7 linked regions of the Coturnix japonica genome follow. The protein of the gene in region 2 interacts with the protein of the main gene of each other region in a biochemical or structural test. Links are inferred from orthologs where the notes say so. Each region holds a gene or a part of one and is shown on either strand. Other genes may lie near its edges.

What was found.
Region 1: the proteins of PPARG (region 2) and NR0B2 form a complex in vitro, tested with the Homo sapiens proteins (2 studies listed by BioGRID, with this or other methods). The link is inferred for Coturnix japonica from reciprocal best matches to the Homo sapiens genes PPARG and NR0B2.
Region 3: the proteins of PPARG (region 2) and TRIM24 interact in a test that uses a peptide from one of them, tested with the Homo sapiens proteins (2 studies listed by BioGRID). The link is inferred for Coturnix japonica from reciprocal best matches to the Homo sapiens genes PPARG and TRIM24.
Region 4: the proteins of PPARG (region 2) and NCOA4 form a complex in vitro, tested with the Homo sapiens proteins (2 studies listed by BioGRID, with this or other methods). The link is inferred for Coturnix japonica from reciprocal best matches to the Homo sapiens genes PPARG and NCOA4.
Region 5: of the proteins of PPARG (region 2) and UBE2I, one has a biochemical effect on the other in vitro, tested with the Homo sapiens proteins (2 studies listed by BioGRID). The link is inferred for Coturnix japonica from reciprocal best matches to the Homo sapiens genes PPARG and UBE2I.
Region 6: the proteins of PPARG (region 2) and GRIP1 form a complex in vitro, tested with the Homo sapiens proteins (2 studies listed by BioGRID). The link is inferred for Coturnix japonica from reciprocal best matches to the Homo sapiens genes PPARG and GRIP1.
Region 7: of the proteins of PPARG (region 2) and CDK5, one has a biochemical effect on the other in vitro, tested with the Homo sapiens proteins (3 studies listed by BioGRID, with this or other methods). The link is inferred for Coturnix japonica from reciprocal best matches to the Homo sapiens genes PPARG and CDK5.

What each region holds. Positions count from the first base shown.
Region 1 is NC_029538.1:1,621,961-1,625,911, forward strand, and holds NR0B2 (nuclear receptor subfamily 0 group B member 2), read right to left. Parts: upstream 2,801-3,951; 5' UTR 2,621-2,800; coding exon 2,095-2,620; intron 1,658-2,094; coding exon 1,377-1,657; 3' UTR 399-1,376; downstream 1-398. UniProt on the Homo sapiens protein: Transcriptional regulator that acts as a negative regulator of receptor-dependent signaling pathways. Specifically inhibits transactivation of the nuclear receptor with which it interacts.
Region 2 is NC_029527.1:3,220,360-3,224,357, reverse strand, and holds the start of PPARG (peroxisome proliferator-activated receptor gamma), read right to left. Parts: upstream 2,801-3,998; 5' UTR 2,689-2,800; intron 1-2,688. UniProt on the Homo sapiens protein: Nuclear receptor that binds peroxisome proliferators such as hypolipidemic drugs and fatty acids.
Region 3 is NC_029516.1:55,909,481-55,912,980, forward strand, and holds part of TRIM24 (transcription intermediary factor 1-alpha), read left to right. Parts: intron 1-2,016; coding exon 2,017-2,149; intron 2,150-3,137; coding exon 3,138-3,212; intron 3,213-3,500. UniProt on the Homo sapiens protein: Transcriptional coactivator that interacts with numerous nuclear receptors and coactivators and modulates the transcription of target genes.
Region 4 is NC_029521.1:1,953,843-1,957,820, reverse strand, and holds the start of NCOA4 (nuclear receptor coactivator 4), read right to left. Parts: upstream 2,801-3,978; 5' UTR 2,739-2,800; coding exon 2,737-2,738; intron 2,014-2,736; coding exon 1,860-2,013; intron 1,399-1,859; coding exon 1,258-1,398; intron 1,151-1,257; coding exon 1,062-1,150; intron 625-1,061; coding exon 516-624; intron 25-515; coding exon 1-24. Other genes in the region: translation initiation factor IF-2-like, read left to right, coding at 2,801-2,981, 3,022-3,455. UniProt on the Homo sapiens protein: Cargo receptor for the autophagic turnover of the iron-binding ferritin complex, playing a central role in iron homeostasis. Acts as an adapter for delivery of ferritin to lysosomes and autophagic degradation of ferritin, a process named ferritinophagy.
Region 5 is NC_029529.1:7,286,290-7,289,507, reverse strand, and holds the end of UBE2I (SUMO-conjugating enzyme UBC9), read right to left. Parts: intron 2,953-3,218; coding exon 2,843-2,952; intron 2,636-2,842; coding exon 2,556-2,635; intron 1,162-2,555; coding exon 1,098-1,161; 3' UTR 501-1,097; downstream 1-500. UniProt on the Homo sapiens protein: Accepts the ubiquitin-like proteins SUMO1, SUMO2, SUMO3, SUMO4 and SUMO1P1/SUMO5 from the UBLE1A-UBLE1B E1 complex and catalyzes their covalent attachment to other proteins with the help of an E3 ligase such as RANBP2, CBX4 and ZNF451.
Region 6 is NC_029516.1:31,457,797-31,461,953, reverse strand, and holds the start of GRIP1 (glutamate receptor-interacting protein 1), read left to right. Parts: upstream 1-1,357; 5' UTR 1,358-1,740; coding exon 1,741-1,873; intron 1,874-4,157. UniProt on the Homo sapiens protein: May play a role as a localized scaffold for the assembly of a multiprotein signaling complex and as mediator of the trafficking of its binding partners at specific subcellular location in neurons.
Region 7 is NC_029517.1:281,036-284,975, reverse strand, and holds the start of CDK5 (cyclin-dependent-like kinase 5), read right to left. Parts: upstream 2,801-3,940; 5' UTR 2,700-2,800; coding exon 2,663-2,699; intron 2,588-2,662; coding exon 2,499-2,587; intron 2,342-2,498; coding exon 2,274-2,341; intron 1,695-2,273; coding exon 1,634-1,694; intron 1,549-1,633; coding exon 1,492-1,548; intron 820-1,491; coding exon 724-819; intron 620-723; coding exon 545-619; intron 465-544; coding exon 368-464; intron 279-367; coding exon 209-278; intron 131-208; coding exon 70-130; intron 1-69. UniProt on the Homo sapiens protein: Proline-directed serine/threonine-protein kinase essential for neuronal cell cycle arrest and differentiation and may be involved in apoptotic cell death in neuronal diseases by triggering abortive cell cycle re-entry. Interacts with D1 and D3-type G1 cyclins.

The sequences.
Region 1 (3,951 bases), on a different chromosome or scaffold from region 2:
GCACGGATGGGCAGCACACAGTTCTCCCAGCAGGCTGCTGTTCAAACACGGTGTGTTTATGGTGGTGGGGAGCCAGGAGGCTTTGTATGGCTGTTCTCCTGTGGGCTGAGGGCTGTGTGTGCACATCCAGGTGAGTCAGCACCAACCTCCTGCATCAGCACCTCCAGGTGTGGCTGTGTGCGTGAAGGAAGGTGCAGCACAGACAGGCTGCAGTTGTGCTGCCTCTGCAGGTTTCAGTGCACAGAGCAGTGTGTGCCCAGCACAGCTCATGGGGCTGCATTGCAATGCTCCCCTATGATTCCCTATGATGCTCCATCCCTGCATTCAGGTGTCCTTCCCACACTGTACCTCCAACAGCTATTTCTACAAGTCCAAAATGCCAGAAATATAACAAAAAATCACCAAAATGTGACACGTTTTTATTAAAAAAATAATTTACTGCATCTTATGTACAAATCAAATGAAGGTCCGCTCATTAAATACTGACATCAGTGACAAAAGCTGCAGGCAGGAGAAGCGAGCTTTCCTACTATGTTGAACCAGCTGGAACTCAAGGCAGGGATGTTTGTTCAGTGTCTGTAGCTCAGTGTGTTCCTGAGCCATTCCAAGTATTGCCATATATATATTGAGGTGTATAGGGAGGATGAAGTGGTGTTCATGCAGCGTTATTTGCCGTACGTTTCACTGCTCTTAGGTAATCCAATCTGTGAGCAATCCTGTTGCAGCTCATGGCATCGTGGGGAGGAGATGCGATGTGATGAGAGGCAGGAGGCGTTCATGAAGCTGGCTGCACGCCCTGTAAGATCTGATGCTTCTCCCTCCTGCTGTCTGAGGAGGATTCTTGGTGGCTGTCTGTGAGATTTCATGCACAGCAGACACTGGCTGATACTTAAAGATCTAATTCCTTACGGCTTGCACCTGGTTGTACTCTACAAGTGATACCACCGAAGATACTCAGCACCCCTAAATACCACTATCAGCACAGAGCCATCACGGGCAGCAAGTTGAGGTCCAACCTCATCTCATGGAGTTAACAAAACACACATTGATTTTAATTGAACTGAGGATTCACTGAGATATAAAAAGCCTGGAGCAGGCTCTAACTCAGTCTGCTCTGTGTCACAGGGCTGGCCTGCTTGCTAGAAACTCAGTACCACCAGCCACACACACTCACATTCCTCAAAACAGACTGGCAGAGGTGGAGCAGCCATGCTGAATCAAGGCTGCTTTCCTTTATGCTCTGAGCCCTACAGCCTAGAGAGAGGCACACGCAAAGCCCTGTGGAGCTGAGTGCCTGACTGCCTGCTCCACAGTCCTCCCTGCTGCCCTGCCAGGTGTTGTTGAGCACCCCCAGGGCTGTGGCAGAGCACAGCAGCTCACAGAGCCACGCGTGGTGAAGGAGCCGGCTGCCAGCTGGTGATTTCATACAGCATATCCACGATGAGCTCGACAATGTCTGCGTTGCCAATGATGGGTCGGAAGAAGAGGTCTGTGATGAGGGCAGGAGGGATGGATTTCAAGGTGGAGGTGATGAGTAAAATGAGGGTAAAGCGGTCCTGGTCCTTGGGGTGTAGGATCTGCACAACTTCCTGAAGCGCTCGCTCGGCTTCCCGCTGGAGGCTCTCGATGTACAGGGAGGCTGTCAGCCCTGGGACATCTGCCAAGAGAAAGGAGGGAAGGATGTGAAGAGGAAGGCTGGAAAACAGCTCGAGGTTTCTCCCATCTCTCTCCCCGTATCTTGGAGAAAAACCTCAGAGCCATTAACAACATGTATTTCAGGGCTGTTGCTTTGAGGGAGTAAATACAGCTAATGAAGCAAACATGGGCTTTGTAGAGTAAGACCCAGGGTTCTTTGATTGCAAGGTAAGGAGGTCTCTGCTTTTAAACACTACATTTTCAGTATCCCTCCTCCCTGCTTCCCAGAGGTAAACTGCATTGCTGGTGCTAATGATGTGAGCAGCTCTCCCTGCTCTCACACACACTTTTGCCCAAACTCTGAGCGACTCCAAGCCAAGAGCAGTGTTTTTAAATGCTAACTCATGCAGGGCTTTCTCTTGCCACCAGCAGGCAGAGCTGGGAGGGTTGAACACTCACCAGGATTAAAGAGAATGGCTCCCTTCAGGTAGGCGTATTCTTTGGGGCTCAAGTCCAGGCTCCAGAAGGTGTTGAGGCTGCACTGCAGCCACTGCACAGCGGCCAGCATGGGCTGAGTCCACTCAGGCTCCTGCCTTTTGCTTTGGCCATCGAGGAGGATCTTCTCAAGCATGCTGGGGGCTGGGGTCTCCATCACCTCAAATGTCACCGTCTCCTGGACCAGCCCCAGGAGGAAGAGGGGGACCCAGCAGCTGTCCAGCAGCAGGAGCTGGTCCCCTCGAGGCAGCAGGTGGAAGGAAGGGAGGTTTTTCATGAAGCTGATGGTTTTCACCAACACGTCGGATGCAGCTTGGCAGGTGATATGGGGTGTCCGGAGGCAGACCGTCCAGCGCTGGTGGCACAGGCAGCGTTGGTGAGGTGGGCTGTGGCTCAGGTTCTGGCTGAGGAGGGTGTAGAGAATGGCTGGGTGTTTGTCTTCATGCTGGCACTGACACCTCTCGCAGTCCATGTCTATGCTGCTGGTCATCAGAGCAGAACTGGGAGCCCCGGATCCTCTGTGAAACTCCGCAGATGGGAGAGACCTGTAAGTTTCCTCCCCGTCTCAATCTGGGAGTGACCTGTCCTCCCAGCTCTGCCAGCACATGGCTGTTCAAACAAGCTCTTATAAGGCTCGGTCACAAGTGGAACACCCCTTCCCAGCCTTGACCGCTCCGTGATTAAGCGGTCCTCATTAAAGAAGAAAAAAAACAACAAAAAAAAAAAGCCACCAACCCCAGCTGTCCCCAGACTGATTGGCTGGAACCAGCAGGATCTCAGCATGGCGTCAATGGCCGTTTTCTCAATGAAACCCCAGCAGGGGCAGCGGGTTGGGCAGCCTTATCACAATTACCCAAACAGTATAAACAAAGTCATTAACCCGGGCTGTACCATGGCACCAAGGCCCCACGCTGCAATCAGGTTGTGCTATCTGGCAGCTGTCGCTGCCAAGGAGTTCACACACACACACACATACACACACACACATACACACACAGGGTGTTCGTCTGAAGCGAGGACCCCATGGCAAATGGCCTTGGAAAGAGCAACCTGGAAGTCATTTTATCAGCAGCTGTTTGCCTAACCTTGTTGACAGGAGATCGGTGTTGTTGCAGTTAAGGAAGGTGGTGAACTGAAAGACTAAACCTAAAGGCAGCAGCCCATTGTGCTGAAGGAGTAATGCTGGGTAGGTGAGAGGCAGGTTTATAGGTTTTTACCTTGAATTGCTCTGGAATTTGTATGTTTTGATCAGCATTAGTTAAATGACAGCACACAATTATGGATTCCAGTGGGGCCTGTGAGGAATTCCTCACACAGGGGGTGCCTGGTGAACCCTGTGAGGATGGGAACAAGTGATTTGGCAGGACACGGGGAAATGGTTTTAAGTTAAAAGAGGGAAGATTTAGGTTGGATGTTAGGGGGAAGTTCTTCACTAGGAGAGTGGTTAGGCCCTGGAACAGGCTGCACAGGGAGGTTGTGGATGCCCCGTCCTTGGAGGTGTTCAAGGCCAGGTTGGACGGGGCCCTGGGCAACCTGATCTATGGGGTCTCTATGGGGTCTCTATGGGGTCTATGGGGTCTATGGGGTCTCTATGGGAATCTATGGGGTCTATGGGGTCTCTATGGGGTCTATGGGGTCTATGGGGTCTCTATGGGGATCTATGGGGTCTCCTGGGCAACCTGATCTAGTAAATGTGTATGTTTTATGGCCCTGCCAGGCAGGGGGTTGGAGCTACATGATCCTTGAGGTCCCTTCCAACCCGGGTCATTCTGTGATTGATTCTGTGATTTAAGGGCACGCAGCTCTTGGTGCACAAATGGG
Region 2 (3,998 bases):
TTTTACAGTTGACAAACAGTTAATTGACACACAGAGAACATCTGTATAAAGGGCCTGAAAAACAGACCCCTAAAATAAAAAAAAATAATTATGGTTATGGTAATACAGTTGAGAGTAATTAGGAATCCTCTAATATCATGCTAAGTTGGGACAGAGTCTGTTATTAAACACGTCTACCAGTGACTAATAAGATGAAACCAGTAACAACTACCAGTGGAGAGTATTGTATCCCTGACTTCAAGAGAACCCAGCGTGGAGAATTAATAATTGCATTTTAATTTCTTTTGAGTAACTGCTCTGGAAACTGTTTTACTGTATGGCAGAGGACAGTACTTGAAAAACTCCTGCGATAAAAGCGAGTGAAAGAAGCTCAAGTTCTGAATATCAAATGCAAATATCTAGTGATGCACTATTAGGCTCCAAACCATGGCTAGTAAATACATGAACTGTTCAGGATGGTACTAAGTGAAAAAGGAGGCTCCAGAAATGGAAGATGGAAAACAAAATCCCAGAGTATACTTTCAATTACGTATTCCAGTCTAGTATAATACAGATTTTTCTTTCTACTTGTAAACTTTCCCCTATTCCTACAATATAACTTCCTGCAAAATTGGTTCCTATTAGTCATTGTTAGAAGTAGAAAATTATATACTGATAATAATTGAAGGTTGACCTACATTGTATTGATTTCTAAATGGACACAGGTACCTCCAAAAATTCACCGAAGAGTCAGAAACAGCATCAGTAGCGGGTTTCTAATTGATATCATATGAAAAGCTGAAAGGCATTGCTCCTATATTCAACTGAACTCTAATATCCTGCCACCTACTTTTTGAGATATTTCCTTATACAAACTATTTAAATCAGAGGAGAATGATCATTATCTGTTTAATAATCACATAGTAATTGAAGTTTCACTGAGCAATACTGTTCAATACATTGTGATATCCAGGACTCTGACACAGACATTGCTAAAATAAGCAATTTACAGACAAATGGCCGCTGAACTACTAAGAGTTAATGGTATATCCTACAAAACTGATGTCCAAGAATACCCAAACGCTATGTAAAAATCCCTTGAAATTATATGTATTTATATCATTGGTTATCAAAGTCCATGCCAATTATTTTTCCAGTTCTCTCTCCCTCCTGTCAAGTTCATGCTAACATTGCATCACGTGCCTTAACACACTGAGATTTCTTACAGACTTTTAATTAAATCTCTGAGCATTTTTGCAGCTATTTTTTGTAACAGCCACAGAGAATAATGATGTCAAACACTATTTCACGCAATAAACCCTGCTATTAACGCAAGCAAAACATACGAAACTCCTTTCCCAAGGACAGCACTGAGTGCCACGACATACACAGCTGATGTACACTAGAATTTTTTAGTTAACTAGTAACAAATTATAGTCACGTATTAAAAGCTAAATTACTGATTAATTGCTACCAGAAATACACATATTTTTGCTTTAGATACTCGTGTTTTAATGGAACACTGCAATCATGTTCCATGGTAAAAGCCTGTTCAGAGATGGGGGAGCAGGTTGCAGATGGAATGCCAGCCCACAGCCCCAGTTATAGCCAGGATAACTGTAATCCATCCCTCCAATTTAAAGGCACCTACAGCAAAGGGAGAAACTGAGCATTTCCTGAGCTCTTCAGAGTGAATACAAGCCTTACGTCACTGATTATTAATAAATACATCACTGTTAAGTCAGCATTGTATGCTCGTGTGTACACACTGCCGTGAAGTTACAACACCACAGGAACTTGCACTCTCCAGTTGTAGAATACCCTGGAGAGAAATGACACCAGGAAGATTACAAAACGCCCCTGCAAACCTGAGGCATACCATCAAGACACTGCATATTTCAACACGGCATCTCACTTGTTGCAGGCTCATAAGGGCTCCCTGACTCGCTGCGGTTGAGAAATCAAACAAAAAAGGAAAAAGAAAAAAAAAAAACAACCCAAACCTCTTTTCATTCATTAAGCTCATGGACCAGGTGAGCACCACCAGCGAGCTCCCGGCTCCTTTCCCTTGTAACGCGGTGCCACATGAGACCCGGCGCTCTGCCCGTCACCCCGTGGGATGCGCCCAGACCGCAGCAGCTCCGCGGGGAGGAGACCCTTCCCCTTAACTCCAGCCGCCCCCAAACTTACCCCTACCTCCCCCCTTCTCTCTCCCTCCTCCCACAGGCCGCAGCCGCCGCTCACCGCCGGGCACGACGCCCCCGAGCACCGGCAGCGCACCTGGAGCCGTCCCGCGGGGTCCTCCCGCCCCCTCGCTTCTCCTCCTCGTCCACTACAATACAACCCCATCCCGTCCGCCCGCCCACGCGGCCCCACGGCGCTGTGTCCCGGCTGCTCTCCTCCACCCCCGACCCGGGCCGTGTCCCGCTCTCCCTCAGCCCCACCGCTCGTCCAGGAGAATCCCCCTCCCCGCCTCCCGCTCCCTCAGAGCCACCTTCCCTCCCCGCCACTCTCAGCATCCCGCCGGCGTGGCCTCGTGCCCAGGCCCGGTGCCGAGCCCCCTGCCCACGCCGGGCGCAGCTCCCTCACCCCGACAGCGGCTCCTCAGCCGCCCCGCTTCCCTCAGGAGCCCCCACACCGCCAGTCCCCCTCAATGCTCCGCCGTCCCCTCACCGCGGGGGGGAAGATCCCCCGGTCGCCCGCACTGACCTGGCGCTGTCAAGTCTCAGCCGGAGAAACTGTTCCCTTCTGGTGGGATAAACTCCCGGTGCCGGCCCATCCTACCGGCCAGGCACCGCCTCCCGGCCGGGCGCCGCCTCCCGCCGCCTTGGGGCGAGCTGTGCCCGGGGCTGCGGGCGCCGCGCGGGTCGGGGCTCGCGCTACAGCGGCCGTTGGCGGGAGCGGGTTGGGGGCGGGAGCCGGGACTGAAGTAACTGAACGGGGCGAGCGGACAGAGAACGGGTCAGTGAGGAGGAGCCGCCGCTTCTCCTTCCTTTCCCCTTTAGACCCGCTCCGTTCACCCCGAGCCGGTTCCCTCTCGTCCGTGCCCGTTAAGCGCGATCACACGCGGGCACCTCGTGTGAGGACAGAGCGCGGGCCCTGCAGTGGATCTGGAATTTGATCTCTGCTCTCTGCAATCTCCTGTAGCTGAGAACTCAGTTCTTTCCGGCTGCTGACTGACTGCTGACTGCTTTCTCTTTTGCATTCCCCTTCTCCAGCTCCTCTCTGCGCCGTGTAGTCGCTCACCTCACGTCAGTTTGTGTCCCGCTGTGACAGAAGTAAATGCTTTTCTGAACAGATTCTTAGCGGTGACGGAGGTAAATGAAATTCTTTTTCACCCCTACTTCTTTTTTTTTTCGTTTTTTTTATCCCCTTTCCCTCCCAGGAATGCACTAAGCAGTGGTATAGGCTGTGCTCGGTAAGTCTCAAGACAGAGCAAGTTCAAACAAGCATGTCACCTCCTATTTCATCCCGAGATTCTTTTATTAAAAAGTTCGATGCTGTAAGTCAGTCATAAGATCAACAGCTTTTAGAGAGTCACTGTAAGCCCAGGTGCCCCAGCACGCAGCAGTTTATCTTTAAGAACTCCTGATCACTTGGTCATCATTAGGAGATTTAGAAGATCCCAAATTTGCCTCACGGTTCTTAGTCATCCAGCGTTTTGAAAGTCTCCATTTGTATACTGAAGGCAATTTATAGATTAGAGTTGAATACATCAAATTACCTGGTCTCCTCACAGATAAAAACTGCCTGCGGCGTTTTGTTTATGAGAACAATCTCTGCAGAGACTGGAAGCCTTGTGTTAAATCTTATGAGAATTATCTATTTGTATGGGCTTGAAGTCTTACTTCTGCCTTGGCACATCAGGGGATTATTTTCAGTGTATGCATTTCCTACTGTCTGTAAGTTTTAGGTTTGGAAAAGTGGAAATACTTTGTTTTCTTCTGGGTTTTTATTTAACATACTGCAGTAATACCTATTCGGTAGTGCACTGACTCAGAACTGGAAGCCAGGGGCTG
Region 3 (3,500 bases), on a different chromosome or scaffold from region 2:
AGCTTATTAGTATTAAAGGACAGAACATCTGTCATAACATGCTCATTGTTTAATGCTTTTATGTAAATATTGGGTTTTCTTCTTAAATATTAGCACAATGTGCTGGGATAAGACATTTGGATAACAAGTTAGATTTATATGCTGATCATCTCTGGTTATGTGCTACTCTAAACGAGCATATTTCTGCAAGCATATCTTTTCAATGTCTCTAAAACTGGCACATAAAGATGTTTATTTTACCTTGTGAAACTTCAAATTATAGGGTTTTTTCTTTAAATAAAATGATGTTATATTGCTTTGTGCCGTAAACAAAACTCGGCAAAGTCACAGTATGAACTTAAGCTAATAACATTTGTGCCTCTCTGAAAGGTAGAAGAAAATCTGTAAGGATATAGGTAGATAACTATATATACACAAGACTTGGCTTCTATTAAAATAAAAGCTTCAGAAATAAATCTTTATAAGTTTTCATTTTCACTGGATTGTTCAATGGAAACTGGGATGATGATGTCCAGGGCACAATGGAGCCAAAAACAACTTTTCTGAGAAGCATTCAGTTTTGTAAAGGTGCATATTAATACAAGTGCACTATGTTCCTGGACTTCAGAACCATAGTTAGCTTAAATTTCCTCCTGGCTTCAGATGTATCACGTTTTTGTTCTCATCTTCATGGTTTTTGTTTTTTGGGTTTGTTTTTTTTTTTTTGCTGCTGCTGCAATGGGCTTGTTCACAAACGTTGGTCTCTAAGCATTAGTTCCTTCGAGCACACACAAAAGAATCCTTTATTATTACGTCAGTGGTCTCAATGACTTCTTTTGTGATTGCTTTTTGTTATTACTTCAGGTAGATAGAACACTTTCTCCTGTAGACTCACAAAGTCACTTCATCTTATCTTTCCTTCACTGTAGCCCATTATACTTTCCCTTACTCTTAGATATTTGAATGTGCCTTTCCTCCATCTTCTGCCTTTCCTGTACTGTGAGATCTTTAGGTCATGACTTTTATCTATTTTTGTCTGTCCGTGCAGAGATGTCAGTATCATGTAAATAGCTCGTTAAGCTGAACTGTTTGAAAGTATTCTTTTTGAGAGGAGACACCCATTATTCATTACCATATGTTAAAACTAGCAGAGGATGGAAATCTTTGAATTACACTAAGTGAGAACCAGTAAGACAGGCTTGGTTTTTTTAAACTTTGCAAGTCTTCGGTTTTACTATCAAAATGCACTGAAAGCTGCTGCAGAATCTTTCATTTGCTAAGATCTTATTATAAGATATCTCTGAGTAAATGCATGCAGTTGGTTCTCATAAGCAGTTACTGCTGAATTATGTCTACAGTGTGAAGTACAACTCAGCCCTCTTGTGGTTATATGTAGGGGTGCAAGTTCACCAGACGTCTTTACTGTTTATTCATAGCTTTTCCAAAACTTACAGAGGTTCACAAATTGAATGAGAGTTGTTGAATGTAGTCAGCTTCCAGAACTAGTTCGGTCTTCTGCTTCTTCAACAGCACAAAAAGTCTTGTCCAGAGTTATCTGTATAGAGCAGGAGTATCTTGCAATCAAGCTTATAAAGAGAAAATACAGTTTCTCCTATATAACTTCAGTACTTTTCCTTCTCCTGGACCAATGTCTGCAAATGAATCCTTCATTCTCTCTGTAGTTAGGAAGCAGACCTCTTAATAATGTTTCGATTGAATTCTGTGAGGTCAAGTGAAAAGTTATAACACAAACAAAAGTAGTCACTGTCAGTCTGTTATGACAAGCCATTTTCCTACTATGACACCACTAATAATACCAATGCCATTAAAAGAAAAGAAAGTTCTAAGGAAGCATTTTTGCCAGCACTGCCTGTCTCTGCTTTTTGTAGTTCTAAGTAGGAAATAAACAAAAGCAACAAAACAAGGCACAATGCAGAAAAAATACCATCCCATACACAAAAAACTTCTCCAGAAGTACATAGAAAGTCAAGAATGTGTTTCTTCACCGTGGTTAATGCATCTGTCTGTCTTGTTTAGTGGAGAGTGGATTTGTACATTCTGTCGGGATTTGTCCAAGCCAGAAGTTGAATATGATTGTGATAAACCAACTCACAACCCTGAAAAAAGAAAACTGGAAGATACTGTGGGCTTGGCACCAATAGACCGTAGGGTAAGGATGAGTCCTGTTGTTTCTTTTACTGAGAAATGTATGCATTAAAAAAGAAAAGGAAAGAAAAAAAAAAAAGGATAGTAAAATGGAGAAATAACTATTTCAGTAGGCTCTGAGATCTTAACAGCCTTCATGTAAACAAGCTGAGCAACACATTCTGAAAGTCTGAGAAGTGGTTGTTTTTTCCTGCTCTGAACGGGGACTGTATTCTAGGAATTGCCAAGCACTGTTTCTAACATTGACCTCATACACAATGACCTTTTTCTTCCTTTGTACTTTCCAGATTCAGTATAGATTGACTTTATTTACTACACTTGGGGGCACAGTCTACATGTAGGGCCATTATTTGTATTTGACGCATTGTAAAAGGGAATAACTAACTGTGTTTGTATTTGGCTTTAAATATAAATTATAATTCCTGTAAATATTCCAGTGGAGGATCATCAAGAATAGAATCAGAAAAACTATTTTCTGAATCTCTTTCAAGGTTCAAGATTCCATTTAATATGCTCAGGTACACACAGAACAGAGATTTCTCCCCACCACTAACAAAAAGCACAGTGGGCTATACACCAATTAGGAAAGCTATTACTGATTTCTCTGAATGTTTATAATAAACTAACAGCCACATATGCTGCTATACAGCACATTTTTATTTTTTATATACCACACATTTTTATCCCACATAATGTTTGTTGGACTTGGCAAACGCTAAACAACACTATTAGTAACTATATGAGGTTTGTAACATGTATTTGAGTGTTAATAAAAATATAGTGTATCAACTGCAGAGAATGTATGCTGTAGACCATTAGTTATGGTAAGCTTGTTTCCAAATACAGTTTCTGTGCTCAGTTTTCTGCTGAGAAATTGGAGGAGTACTGAGAAAGTACTGAACATCTGCTTGATGTTTTATATAGATCATTATTTTAGAATAGATTGTGTAGTTTTTTATTTGTGTATTATCTATCTTTTTTTCTTGACACAGAAGTGTGAAAGATTGCTGCTATACCTCTATTGTCATGAAATGAGTCTTGCTTTTCAAGATCCAGTTCCACCTACAGTATGTACTTCACTTCTTTCCATTTTCTATTAATCAGTAGCATAATTGGCATGGTCCTAATGGCATTGTTATGCTCATTATCAGAAGTCAAGTTTTGTGGACATCGAGTGTATTGAATGTATTTAATTTTATTAAAACTGTCTGAAGGGCAATTGAACAGTTCTGGCACAGGCTGACCAGAGAAGCTGTGGATGCCCCATCTGTGGAGTTGTTCAAGGCCAGGTTCGATGTGGCCCTGGGCAGCTTAAACTGGTGCCTGGTTTAGGGGTTGGTAACTGCCCACAGCAG
Region 4 (3,978 bases), on a different chromosome or scaffold from region 2:
AGTTATCTCTCTCTCTGAGGTTTGCTAGAAAAAGAGAGAAGTACAGTTCAGGTTAAATCTCCATTGTTTTCAGTTTCTAAGACTCAGAAGCAAAGTGCAGTCACAACTGATCCACTCTTAACAGCCAATGATTTTCATTATTCAGAACACAATAAAGACTTGCTACAAAAAGACTAGTTCCATTCCACTGCCTTTAAGAGAGTGATCTCCAATAATACACGAGATACGCTGCTTACATAAGAACCCCAAAATAATTCTACAGCAGAGATACCTTCCCACAATGTAAGATTTCCTTTAGATTCTCACAATCAACATTAGTTTTTGCTGGAAAAGAGTATGAACACAACCAAAGTAACATAATATGTAACTAGAACTAAGCTCAGCCAAAATCAGAGCAGTAATTAATAAACTACTGTCTAAATATTGAATGAGTAGAACTATGGGACCTGTCCACAAAAGTTATTTAAGTATTTAAGACTTTAAGTACTACAACCCAGTAAAGCCTCTGTGCTTACCATTGTTTTAATTGAACCAAATGAGGTAATGGCCTGGCGAAGGTACGATGTGTCAGCCTCAAAATTCAGGACAGAAGACTCCTCTGGTTTAAGAGTGAGACTTTCCAGTCTGAAGGAGCAAGATGAGAGTTACAGCCTTATGTTTTTAACTTCTACACCTGTACAGCTGCCTTGGCACTGATTAACAAAAACAAAACATTTTTACTGCTTGTACAAAAACAAGGAGATGTAAATTCACAACCTAAAGCAAAGAAACCAGCAAAGCACAACTTCTTCCTTCTTACTTCAAATGAAAATCTGAAGTGATGTGCACAAATGAGCACACCTACTCCTTTCTATGGTCTTGCTTTGTTTTTTACCAATCTAAGGTGCAGATGAGAGGAATCATACTTCAAAGTGCTTAAAGACTCTCAACTATGAACTATTAAAACACAGAAATGGTGATTCAGGTTAATTATTAGTTCTTCTAGAATCACAAATAGGGTTAAATTTCTAAGTCAAAATAAATTACCGACTGTATTAGCTCGCATTGTAATCAATATTTACCTCTCCAGGCAAACTGAAATCTGGTTCGCTAGTTCGTTGTTGTAGGAGTGTTCCAGCTGATGAATAAGGCAATTGAACTGTCCCAAGAACTGTGTGGAAGACAAAACACTCATTATTGTTTGGGCTTCTCAAGTTAAAACCAAGATAACTACAAAGATGCAGTTCATTTTAAAATCCCAGTGCAACCACCTCTTACCCAGTAGAGCTGCTGAGCTTGCTGCTGCAGCGCCTCCTCCTTCAGCTGCTGGATGAGATCTACCTGCTCAAACAGCCACACCTCACGGCTGCGCAGGCATTCCAGCTGGCGGCTGATATGGCTGTGAATCTTGGCTTTAACCTGCAAGGCAGCATTATAGCATTATTCATTGCTGTTATATCTGTCAGATGGTACCAACAAGCACATGCTGGGCAGGTTACAAAACTCTATTTCTCAGGCACAAGTGGTATTTTTGTACCAATTTATTCCTCAAGCTCTAAACCACAGTAACCCACAACGCCACATGACTCACAAGTCAGTGCAAGTTTCCAAGCTGCCTCTAAAGATGATCAAATAACAACGTTATTCACAACATCCCTTTACTCAGATGCTTCAGCCAGAAGCTTTAGAAAATGCCACATGCCTGGGCTAGAAGTACAAAACAACCTCACCTAAAGCATGCCTAAATTACAGGCCAAGAGACTTGCCCATCTATTGGAAACCTTCAGATCACCCTCCCAACAGAAAGTACTCTGGAATTATTTAAACTGCCAGTGAAGTCAGACTAGTTATTAATGCATCGTTAACGAATGAAGAATTACCTCTCGCCAGTTCTCTTTAATCTGCTGCTCGGCTTTGACAATTCCAGAGATAGCTGTTTCCAAGTCCTTCCTCGCCTGAAGGCACTTTGCCAGCGTCTCGCTGCTGCAAGAACTTCTATTTCTGTCTTGTGGCAGACTCATTCTCAGCGTGTTCCTAAAGCACAAGGAAAAAAAACACTTAGAAGCTTCCGTTCTTCCTTAAGGAAAGAGGAAGGGAAGAGCCATCGATGTTGCTTCACTATTAAATGCAACAACAAAGCCTGAGACCCCACAGCGACTGAGTTCTGTGAGCAGAGCTGAAGCTTTCTCTGAGAGCAACAGCAGACTCCGGGGTGCTTTGGCACAAGGAATTTATGCAACCACAGGAAAACCAACAGATATTTGCCAACAGGCTCAACCGCAGGAGCTGAGGCAATCCTCCCTGCTGCTCACGTGCCCCTGCATTTCTGTCTAGCCAGCAAACTGCAGCAGCTGGGAGCTGATCTGGGCAAGGCTCTGCAGAGCTGATGGGGAAGGCAAGACCAGCCTGGCAAGGCTGCAATTCTATCCTTGTACTGACACAGCCTGGCTCATTCACAGCTGCTGCTCTACAAGGTTTCACACCCTTCACCTTGCTAACGTACTCCTTAGAACATCCTTTAGATTCTCCCTTTTTTGCCTTAAAATCAACCACCCTCAAGCCCTGGGTTAGGTTATAACCAGGACTCAAACTCAACTCCCTGATATACAGCCTGCAGGAGTGCAACCTCTCAGAAGCCATCTGGAAACGTTAGTATGAAAGTCAGAGAAAACCAAGCAAAAAGGCAGTGACACGGCTATACCCAAAGCTGCCACATATACAAAGCAATACGAATAGATCACAGACCGTATTCCTTACATAAGAACCACACCGCCGTGCCCTCCACAAAGAGCAGCAAACGCCGCCCTCCGGCTCTCGCAAAATGGCTGTTCTGCCTCGTCAGGAATCAACAGCCAAATGCACGCAGCGTTACGGAACGAGCCGGATCGCTCGTTTCCTTTTCCTCAGCCCCTTCAGTCAACAACGCAGCCGCTCAGGACGCCCGTCCCTGCCTCACAGCGGCCCCGAAATACCTCAGCGGGCGGACCGGGGGGCAGCAGCAGGTACCGAGGGGCAGCAGCAGCAGCAGGTACCGAGGGGCAGCAGGTACCGAGGGGCAGCAGGTACCGAGGCGCTCCCCGGGGCTGGGCCGGGCAGCTCCGCGTCTTATCGAGGCGGCCAGGCCCCGCTCCGCCCCGTCCTCACACGGGGCGCACAGCGAGGGCGTGGGAGCCGGAGGAGCCGCTGTTGGGGGGGGGAAGGGCTCAATGAACAACATACAGCTCGATGAACAACAGAAATCCCGTTCCGAACCGCAGTCCCGGCACGGCGCAGCCCCCAGTCCCCGCAGCGCACCGACCCCCGGCCCGCAGCCCGCACTCACCGTGCGCTGCCCGCGCCCCGCTCCGCGCTCAGCACCGCCGCTGTCGGGACACGAACGGCCGCTCTCGCGAGATGGGCGCCCCGAGCGCCGCCTGGAGGAGCGGAGGAACGGCTGCAACGTTGGGGGGTGCGAGGGTCAGAGCGCCGCTTGTTAAAGGCCGCCCCTAAGGAGCGTGGAGTGCTGCCTGTGTGAGGAAACATCTGGTTCCAACCCCCTGCTGTGTGCAGGGTCACCAACCAGCAGCCCAGGCTGCACAGAGCCACATCCAGCCTGGCCTTGAATGCCTGCAGGGATGGGGCATCCACAGCCTCCTTAGGCAACATGTTCAGTGCGTCACCACCCTCTGGGTGCAAAACCCAACCTAATCCAACCTAAACCTGCCCTGTCTCAATCAAAGAGAAGGCTGAGAGAGATATCTCAAGTGCAAGAGGCAATTGGACAAGGCCAGACTCCTATTAATGGTGTGCCACAGCGTAGCTTGCCCCATACTGGGCAGCACAGCACTGTGTAAAAGGGAAAGTGATGCTGCCGTGTGAGGCAGACCCAGCTGGGTGCCCTGACAGGACAGCCATGCCCTTGTCAATGTGAGGCAGCAGTGCCAAAGCACAGCCTGCAGTTAGGGCCATCACTGCAGGTGTCATGGCACAATGCCCACAGTGCAGCCAGCAGCAGGCTCC
Region 5 (3,218 bases), on a different chromosome or scaffold from region 2:
GAGCCCCTGAGGAGCTGTTACTAATTGTATTCTTCTTCCTTTACCTTTTAAGTAGATACTCTCAAGTTTCAAGCACCCAATTGGTTTCAAATTTCAAATAAACCTCTCCACAAACCCTTCAACAGCACTGGATAGGAAGACAACCCATAATGTTACTTAGTACATATAATGCCCAGATCCTGTAGGCCCCCTCATCTTCAGAGCATTTCTATTATTGTTCATTCATGCTTGTATCATTCCATATTCCAGTGATCAGACCAGTCTGTAATATACAATAAGCAATTGATCCCTAGTTAGTCATACAACTCTATAAGGTGCTTAAGGAACTGGTCAACTATAGAATAGCTGCCAGTAATCAGCACAGAGACAGACCACCTCTACATCAGGGACAGGGAAAATAAAGGAGGCAGCAGCTGAGAAGTAAAGCATCACAACTTTTAACCGAGTTGTGTTCAGAGCTGCTTAAACAGCGGCCTTTTAATGAAGAGGATGAAACAAAGCCCTTTATATAAACAGTTTATTTACTCTAAACAGCAACACAGACAATGCCATATAAACACAAAGGAAGTGATGCAGAATAAGGATGCTGGCTGACTTTGGATCTCAGAGGCTCTTAAGCAATAACAACCTAGTTTCTGAAAGATAGAAAAACAAATTCAGGGAGGGAAGGGGGTGGAGGGCATGATTTTTATTTTTCCATACAGCCAGCTAAAGGCTAAATATAGTTCTAACATTTTAAAGCATGCCTGCATCAGATAGCAAAGTAACTAGAGATACTAGTGAATTTATAGAAGTATAAAAGTTTATAATTTTACAGCAGTTGAAATACTGACATCAATATTAAAATAAAAGCAAGTTTTACATAACAATCAAAAATACAAAAGACTGAAGGAAGAGACCCTGTATGAAAAAACTGGGGGCAATTCAGCAAATTTAGAACTGTATACAAGTGGCGAATATGGAAAATGGCACACATACAACCCCCTCCCCTAAGTGGATATTAATTGTACATAGCAACATTAGATTTTGCAAAAGTTTTGTAAACAAGTTCTTGCCAAACCAATCCCTTCCTTTTTAAGATGCTGCATGACAGATGCTTATGATGGTGCAAACTTCTTGGCTTGTGCTCGAACCCTCTTTTCATATTCCACTCTGTTTTGGCTGAATAGAAGAACAAGAAAGGGCAATTAAAGCTTGAGAAATAAGGCCGAATTGCAAAATTCCCTCCTGTTTCTAGCTGTTAATTCTCCCAACTCAGAGCACCCGAATAAAGGAACACCTTCCATAGCAAACTGCACAACTACAGGAGAGGAGGAGGTACACAGCACACCTGAAGTACTGCAGAAAAACAGTACAAAGGCAACCCCAAAAATGAGAACAAGTCCAAGATCCGTGAGTCAGTATCAATTAGTACCAACCAGTCACTGAGGTACAAATTAACAACCTGCCTTCACAGCCTCTGCAGTTATGCAGGAACAAGACCAGCAGAGATGGTTTTTGCATAAACACATGAGGGGAAGTATAAAATGGGTCATGGGCTATGTACGCTTTCAGAGAATTATTCTATTCCTGCTCCATATTTCCATAGACTATTTTTTTTCTTATCCAAGAGGAGAAAAGAAGGTGGGTCTGCCTTGTCATTCCTCGCTCCCTAAGGCACTGCCTACAACCATCCTCCATTTGAACACACTCATCCAGTCTTCAGAGATACTTAAAGAATACCCTTGAGTAAGGTCTATAAATAGGATACACACCATCCATCCCTATGATTCCTTCTCTCTGTGGTCCTGTATGACATTTCTGACATGACTTTTTATGAGACTCTGCATACAAGCTATTTTTCTACCTTGGGACTCTCCTGAAGACTTGTTCTTCAGTCTAATTTTGCATTTCTGTTTCAGTCGTTATTTCAGTAGCTGTCAGTGCCAAAAGCATTTGTTTACAGAGTGTACTGCTTCCTTAAGAATTATGGGTCAGTAATCTATTTTTAATGATAGGAATATTTTAAGATTGAGCCTAAAAAACGGTGGGGTTTTTGGTTTGAATTTTAACTCCCCTAAAGCTCCAGGCCTCCTATACACTTAAAAACAGTTTTGAACACCAGTTTTCAAAGCTCATAAAATCCTTCTAACAACCACAGCTCTTCAACCTTCAGGCACAAGCACTTATAGGTGCACATTGCTGGACAGAACTAAATTACCCCTGTATTTACCAATGGAACTTGTCAACTAATCCACTCTCTTCCTTCTCACTTTCACTGTTCTTATGAAATCATTATGCTTTGGAATCTGTACTGGTCTGAGACCAAGATGAGAATCATGGTCCAACTGAACGCATCTTCATGTTTTCTGTTGTCACACTGTTAAAAGTTCCATTAGCCTATAAATGCTGGAGGTATTACTTAGCTTGAGTTCAGCATAAGCTGGGCATCTCAACAGGACATAGCCATGAAGGCAGAAAAGCTCCCTTGATCCTTCCCCCAAACATTTGCATGTACCATCGACAACAGACAGCTGTAGGCAACATGCAGCTCTCATGGTGATCCACACACTTACCAGTAAATTGTGTACGCCTCTGCTTGAGCTGGATCTTGAATATTTGGTTCATTTAGAAGTTCTTGTATTCCTAACAAGATCTGTGGATGAAGGTACAGAAGCAACAGAAGCACGGATATTACTAAGTGATGAAGAAACATGCAACAAAAGGAAAAAAAAAATAAATCACTACATTCACACCAAAAATCCCAACCGTAGAAACATGTAATGAGCATTTTACATTCATGTAAGACACACTGGCAAAGCGAGAAAGAAGCATAATTATATGCATAGGTACAACTAATGACCTGTTTAATTGTGATTGCTGGCCTCCAGTCCTTATCCTCCTCTAAGATGGAGAGACACACTGTGCCTGAAGGATACACGTTTGGGTGGAATAATGGTGGTTCAAATTTACCTGAGGGAAAAAAAAGAGTTACTGGCATGCGAAGCCAAGGCTAATATGTAACAGATTGTTTAGAACATCAGTGTAGGACAAACAAACCAGCCAGAGACACACATACACACAAATTCTCTGCACATCTGTCCCCCATCCAACTTCCCCCACTCACCAAACAGGAGATTTCCACAGCTATTGTTAAAGAGCTGCACTTTGGCTTGTGGCCTGTACCAAAAGCAGGAAACCTGCCATGTCTGTGTTACCACCCCAGGCAATTCCACAGC
Region 6 (4,157 bases), on a different chromosome or scaffold from region 2:
ATAATTCCAGACCTCAAGGTATTTATTGGCTGGTGACAGTAGTGGCATTTTCACAGGGCAAAAAACAGGGGTGGTGAGGTCAGGGAGCGTTAGCACAGGCTCCCATGGGAACCTTGGTAGGCACCTTCATGGTTTTGTCAGCTTTTCTGGTGAAAACATATATTTTTGTGACTCTATTGTTTTAAAATGCTTGGTAATTGGAGGATGCCCTAAAGATGCCCTGTGCCTGCCTTCAGTGCGCATTCATTTCTGGACTGCTGGGAACTTTCGTGTGTTCTAAGTCTCTCTCCTGTTTGTAAGCTTCCTGAGGTACTTGAAGGCAATAATAAGGTGTCCCCATAGCTTTCTTTTCTCCATGCTGAATAAGTCCAGTTCCCACAGCCTTTCTTCATAGGCTCCAGCCCTCAGATCTTCCTTGTAGCCCTGCTCTGGACCTTCTTTAACAGCTCTATGTCTTTCTAGTGCTGGGGGCCCAAGATCTGTAACACTGGTTCCATGGAAGGGCTGCCTGATGTCCCCATGCTCATAGATGCCAGGCAGCACCTCCTGTAAGTACAAGCACAAGTGGTGATGGCTTGACTGATGGATGGTGACTGATGGATCCAGCCTGGTGCCTGCAGCCAGGAGGTGTCTGGTGGGACTGGAGGACCACACGTGGGAGCATCTACCATCTGTGGTAGATGTCAAGGAAATGGGATTTGAGCAAACACTGCTTTTGATTTTGAATGGGAGATAAACTTCATTGTGAAATTCGTGCCTTATCTGAGGAAATGCTGAGGAATTGGGCATGCAGCAAGAGGACAGAGTGAGTGCCTTTCTGAGCTGTTTGCTGATCTCTTCCAGTGCCCAGCACAGTTTGCTGCATCTTCACTTTAAAGTTTTAAAACTCTGCTAGGATTTTAAATGAGCATGGCGTGGTGTGCGCGTGGTGTGGCTTCCTTTGTTTGCCTATTGCCATGTAGCCTGGCCAGCTCTATCAGAAACCCATCTGTGAAGCGCATTTTAATGGTTAGATCTAGCAATGATTAGAGTGCACCAATGCCCAGTGGGTATATGTGTCATTTTTTAACAGCTGCTAAGCCTTCTCCCTGCTGCTCCAATTAACACACTGGGCACACGCTTGCCGCTGAGTGGGCTGTGTGTATGGGTTAAACCACTCTGCTGGTTGTTCTCCCGGTGCGTGCGATGCCAGGAACGGAGCCATGCATTTCTTGTCCGTAGAACAAAATGAAATCAAACAGAGCCCTCAGCCCGTGCCTGCGTAAATGCGAGGACAGATTTAACTGACAGAGGGAAACCTGCCTCGCTTGTGGATATGGTTCAGTCCGCCGACTCGCATCTCTCCCCGCCTCCCAGCCCCGCTTCAAATGATGGAGACAGAGGGCAGCGAGCTCCCGGTGCCGGCTCCTCTGCCTGGCAGGCAGCGCACTCCAACTTTCCTCTGTTCAACAACTGCTCGCAACCCTCAGTTCTCCCCTCCCATCAGTGTTTCTTCCCTTTATCTATTTTTATGTTGAGATATTCCAGTCTGTAGATTTTATAAAAGTCCACCCCTCACCTTCTTGTTGTTTTTTTTTTTTTTAAGGAGGGGGAAACAATATGCTTTGCAGCCCTAGCTGAGATCAGGGTTTTTAATGGTACCAGATGGTGGAAGGTCACAGCGTTCCTGCGGTGCTGGCTGCTGCCCCGTGCCCGGGCAGCTCTGTGTGAGGTGGGGGGCTGCTGGTGGGCGCTGAGGCCATGGAGCGCTTCCTGGGCTTCGTCAAGCAGATACGGAGGTCAAGGAGAAGAAAAGGCAAAAAGTACCGCCCGGAGGAGGATTACCACGAGGGCTATGAGGATGTCTATTATTACGCTTCTGAACATTTTCGAAGTAAGTGTTTCGCGTAACCTCGCTTTCCTTTAGTTGTGATAAATGTTACATTTGTAAGATTCTTTAAAAACAAAACCACCCTAAAGGCCAAACAGCGTCCCTCACTTTATAGAACCTGAGCCCTGTGCGAGTATGAAAGCTTCCAGCTATAGATTTGTCTGTCTGTGGCTGCTGATGACCTGTGTGAAACAGCTGAAGTGGCACAAAGCTCCCAAAGTGAGCAGGGTCCGTCAGCCTGGTTAATATTTCAGGTGCAGTTAATTGAGTCTGAGCGCTGGAGAGCCGCTGTGAAACACTTTGTTTTGAGAATGGATCGGCTGGTGGTCACCCTTGTAGGATGCCTTTGTACTGTGGGTGTTTTTAAAGCAGCGTAGAGGCAGCAATCTCTCATTGGTGGGTTCAAGTTGGTGATTAATGCATGCTGCTGAGCGAGAGTCAGCCCTCTGAGCCTGCAGAAAGTCTCTCCGTGGGCTCCTTTGTTGGGGAGCACCCGTGGGGTTGTGTGGTGGTGGTGGTCACGTGGCTGCAGCAGCTCACCCCAAACCCAAGTAAGTTCTGATGTCCCTTTGCAAAATGTGTATCCACTGGGTTTGTGCTCAGCACCTGGCGGGCTTTGGTGATCCTTGTAAAAGCTTTCTGTTGTTCCGACCAGCAGTTTGGGAGCTCTGCAGCGAAGCTATTTTTGAGCAGCTGGAGTTTGATGTGCTTTTTCATCCTTTTTATTTATTTTTGCTGGGGCAGTTGTCACATCCTTTTCATGCCATCCAGCTTCATTTCCATTTAGTCTGAAATAAGAACCATCCATTTGTTTTCAGACAAAATAGTGAACATGGCTTTACTCAGCAGCAACAGAGTGCTCTATTCTCTGGAAAACATTGAAGCTAGAGGTTTTCCTCTCAGCTTTAAATGCACCACAATTGCCCATCTGCAAAAGTAAACTAATACAGAGTGATTGATTTTTTTTTCTTTTTACTGCAGTTCTCCCTTATACATTCTTTATCTTTTTTCCATTTCAAAGCACATGTATCCTGCTGATAAACCCTTATGTTGTTAGGACTGAGTTTTTATGAGAAAGACCTATTTTCAGGGGCACTACAATCATAGCAGCTGTCTATCACGTTGGCATATAATACACAAGGACTAAAAAACGTACTTAGCACTGAAAAATGTGAAAATAATGCAGGTCAATGAAAGCACATAACTTTTTGCTTTAATATGCAAATAAAAGGAATGTGTCAAAGCAGGCTGTCAAAGTATTTCCCCTAACTGATTGTTAGTGCTGAAGGTCTTTTAAATAAGAAAGCAAAACCCCTCCCAACACTGTCACATGTCATAAGGATTTGTTGTGTGTTGATTAATAAATTATTACTCTTGACTTAATGCAAGGAACTAAGAGCGAGCCAAATGTCTAATAGGTTTTTCATTTTATTCTCCTTAGAAAATAAAAGGATGTAACACCCCTCAGCCCCTGGGGGTTGGAAATATTTTAGTCTGGGTGAGTGCATGTCTGCTTTTGAAGTGTTGTTTTTACTGGTGGTCATAACCCTCGCACTGAGCAAGCAACACAGTGCGCGGTCCTATAGAGTTGGGTGCACGAGGAGTTGCAACTTCTCACACTTACTAACACAGAGCGTGTCGTGGGAGGTTCAAGCTGTGTTCATTAGGGAGCCTGTGCAGGCAGTATAGCAAACACAACCCCTCCTCCTCCAGGGCTTCTTTTGTCCGCTCTTTCCGTGTGCTGCTTTGGTTGGGTAGGTGTGGCATCTGCTGTGTGTACATGTAAGAAGGATGCTGCTGGTGCTACTGTGAACGCTCTTGTGAAACTGGATTTCATGTAATGGAGACAATGAAGTGTTTATCTTGAATGTAATTATGATCTGGTATTATCCTGTTTACAGTGCAAGTTTAGAGTAATTGCAGAGCTTTTAATAGTCATTCCTTCTGCACTTGTATGCTTGAGGGATGCGTGCTTGAGAATAAGGTTGCACTTATTGGTATGATTCTCCAAATATCAGAGCTAATGAAATCAAAGACCTGTTGTTCATTCAACCGAACAGAGTAGGAGCTTGTTCAGGTTTTGTTCCCTCTCCTTGCTTTGTCACTCATCCTTCCCAAAGGGTCTCCTTTTATGAGCTACGTAACCAATTAGTGAGTGCCTTTGGAGATTGTCTGAGCCAATCGCTCTCTAGGCTTGCTGTTCTCTCTTCCCCCCATACATAGTACTGCTTAGGGTACTGCAGGGAGATGGAATTCATAAAAAAACTGAGGAAGTGCATTAGAATAG
Region 7 (3,940 bases), on a different chromosome or scaffold from region 2:
TGGGGGCAGCTGTGAGCAACGGGCCCCACGCCGCCCCCCCCCGCCCCACCGTGCCCCCCAACCCCTCACCTTGTAGTCGGGCAGCTTGGCCATGGCCGGCCACTGCTCCTCCGTGGGGGTGCCCAGCAGCGTGCGGGGCTGTCAAGGGCCACGGGGAGCTGCGGGACTCTGCCCTCACCCCCCCACACCAACAGCACCCAAAGGATATCGGAAGATCCTCTTCAGCTGGTCGTCCACGTCGTTCCCTGGGAAGAGCGGCCGCCCCGCGTTGGCCAGCTCTGCACAGGGATGGATGGGGTGAGCCCCGATGGGGTGAGCCCCGATGGCCGCCCCAGGCGTCCCACAGCCCCCCCGGCCCCACAGCTACCTGCAAAGATGCATCCAGCCGACCACATGTCGATGGAGGTGGAGTAGAGCTTGGCACCAAACAGCACGTCCGGGGGTCGGTACCACAGCGTGACAACCTGCGTGGGGCACAGGGGATGCTCGGGAGGAGCGGGCAATGCCGGGACCCCCATGTGCATCCCAGCAGCCCCCTCCTCACCTCTGCTGAGTAGCAGCGCACCGGGATGCCAAAGGCCCGTGCCAGGCCAAAGTCTGCCAGCTTCAGCTCCCCGTTCTGCAGAGAGAGAAAGGGGTCAGGGGCTGAGGGAGCACCCAGCGGACCCCAAGGGGCACAGGGGGGGGGTAACATGGTGCCCCTGCCCCCAGCCCAGCACTCACCCTGTTAATGAGCAGGTTCTGCGGCTTCAGGTCCCTGTGCAGGACGTTGCGGCTGTGGCAGAACGCGAGGCCCTTCAGCAGCTGGTACATGAAGGACTGTGGGAGAGCACAGCCCACAGTCAGCACAGCACCACTGCCAGCACCAGCCACAGCGACAGCAGCACAGCAACACAGAACAGGCTGGAAGGGACCCCAAGGATCACAAAGCTCCAACCCCCCCCCACAGGCAGGGCCACCAACCTCCACATTGATACCAGCCCAGGCTGCCCAGGGCCCCATCCAACCTGGCCTTCAACACCTCCAGGGATGGACGGGGCATCCACAGCCTCTGGGCAGCTGTTCCAGCACCTCCCCACTCTCACAGTACACAACTTCCCCCTGACATCCACCCTCAATCCGCCCTCCTTCAGCTTAAATCCATTTCCCCTTGTCCTGTCACTGCCTTCCCTTGTGAAAGGTCGATTCCCCTCCTGTTTCTAATCCCCTTTAAACACTGTCAGGCTGCACTGAGCTCACCCCGCAGCCTTCCCTTCTCTTCTCCATGCTGAACAAGCCCAGCTCCCTCAGCCTGTCTTTGTCGTGGAGGTGCTGCAGCCTCTGAGCATCTTTGTGGCCTCCTCTGGACCCTCTCCAACAGCTCCCTGTCTTTCCTGTATTGGGGGCCCCAGCTCTGGACGCAGCACTGCAGATGGGGCCTCAGAGGGCAGAGCAGAGAGGGATGTGGCCACACACACACACACACACACACACACACACACACACACACACCTTCACGATCTCAGGGTCCAGATCCCCGTTGCAGCTGTCGAAGTATTTCTTGAGGTCCTGCAGGGGGCGGTGCTGCCATCAGGGCACGGACGGGGTTGGGTTTATGGGGGGGGGGTGTCATTAGGGCCGGATCCGCGCTCACCTGGTCGCAGAACTCAAAGACCAGAGTCAGCTTCTTGTCGCTGTGCAGCACGTCGTGCAGCCTGGGGGGGCGGCACCAAAGGGTCGGTACCGGGCGGGGAGCACCAACAGCAGCACATAGAGCACATAGAGCACATAGAGCACATAGAGCACACAGAGCACATAGAGCACATAGAGCACATAGAGCACATAGAGCACACACAGCACATAGAGCACATAGAGCACATAGAGCACATACAGCACATAGAGCACATAGAGCACATAGAGCACATAGAGCACATAGCACATAGAGCCCATACAGCACATAGAGCACATAGAGCACACACAGCACATAGAGCACATAGAGCACATAGAGCACAATAGAGCACGATAGAGCACATAGAGCAACATAGAGCACATAGACGCACATAGAAGCACACACAGCACATTAGAGGCAAACATTTAGAGCACACAGAGCAACATAGAGCAGCACAGAGCAACATAGAGCAGCACAGAGCACATAGAGCCACAACAGCACATAGAGCAACAATAGAGGCACACCTAGAGCCACATAGGAGCACACACAGCACATAGAGCACATAGAGCACATAGAGCACACACAGCACATAGCACACACAGCCCATATCACACACCGGACTCACCTGACGATGTTCTTGTGCTTGAGCTCCTTGAGCAGGCAGATCTCCCGCAGTGCAGAGCTGGGCACCCCCTGCACGGCGGCACCGCACGGCTCGGACCGGCCCCGAGCAGCCCCGTGTGCACCGGGCACAACCGGACCGGGCACAACCGGACCGAGCCGAACCGAACCGAACTGAACCGACCCGACCCGGCCCGTCGCTGATCCCGGTGCCGATCCCGGCCCTCACCTCGTCGTCATCGTCCAGCCGCACCCGCTTCAGCGCCACGATCTCGTGCGTCTCCCGGTTCTTGGCCTTGAACACGGTTCCGTACGTACCTACGGACGGACGGCTCAGCCCAGCGGCCCCACACCGGACCCGCCCCGCCCCGCCCCGGTCCGGTCCCGTCGCACCTTCCCCGATCTTCTCCAGTTTCTCGTATTTCTGCATGGTCCCGTTCGGTCCCCTTCGGTTCCGTCCCGTTCGGTTCCGCTCCGGTCCCGGTGCCGGCCCCGCCCCCGCCCTCGTATCCCCGCCCCTTCCGCCGCCCCTCCCGGCAGCCCCTCCACTTCCGTCCCGCCTCCCGGAAGTACCGGCTCTTCCGCCACGCCGCCGAGCGGCCCCGCCCCCTTTAGCCCCGCCCCTTTTGTCCCCGCCCCCCGCTCCTTGTGCCGCGGGTTCGATCCCCGCCGCCGCCGGGCGGTTCCGGGTGCGGTTCCGGGTTCGGTGTCCGCTCCCGGCTGCGCTTCCGGCTCCCGGCCCGCCCGCTCCGCCCGGAGTCCCGGTAAGAGCCGCTCGGTCGGTGCCGCCGCTCCGCGGGCACAACACGGCGCACAGCGCACGGCGGGGCGGCACCGGGCAGCGGGTACCGGGCAGCGCTTCCGCGCTTTGCGGGCACCGGGGGCGCCCCCCCGCCCTGATCCCACGTTCCCGCTCGGTGCCCGGCCCCGTTACAGCGGCGGGTGGGGCCGGGGGCGGCGCTGCGGACACGGCACCGCTACCGACACCGGCCGCCCCGCCCGGACCGGGCCGTGCCCCGCAACCCGCCCCGCTGCCGCCCGGACCCCCCCCGCCGCCCCCCCCCGCCCGTAGGAGTGGCCGGGAGCAGCCCCGGGGCTGCAGCGCCGCGGGGATGGAACAAAGCGCCGCGCCACGATCCGCCGCCCCGAGCCCGAGAGCGCCGCTATAACGGCCCCGGGGCGAACGGGCACGGACGGAGCGGCGGGACGCGGCGGTGGAAGCGCCGGACGGAACGGGGCCATGGGGTGAGTGGGGCCGGGCCCAGGGGCCGCTCCCGTGGGGCCGCTCCCGTGTCCCCGTGGGGCCGCTCGGTCCCGCGGTGGCGCAGCGCGGCTCCGTGATTCATTTCCTGCCCCCGACGGCTCCGGGGTCACGGCGGGGCGGCACCGGGAGTTTGGGCCGCGGGTTCCGAAGTTGCGGCTCGAACCCGCCGGGATGAAACCGGGGGCGGCCCCGCCCCCCGAACCGCGGTTACGGACACGGGACGGGGCGGCGGCGGCACCGGGACCGAGCGGAACCGCGGCTGAACGGGGGGGGAGGAGGGATGGAGGGATGGAGGGATGGAGGGATGGAGGATGGATGAGCTCCGTGCCTGCGCCTGGCGGGCAGATGTGGGGCAGCTGTGGGGCAGCTGTGGGGCTCTCGGCCGCTCCCAGCCTCCTGGCACCGAT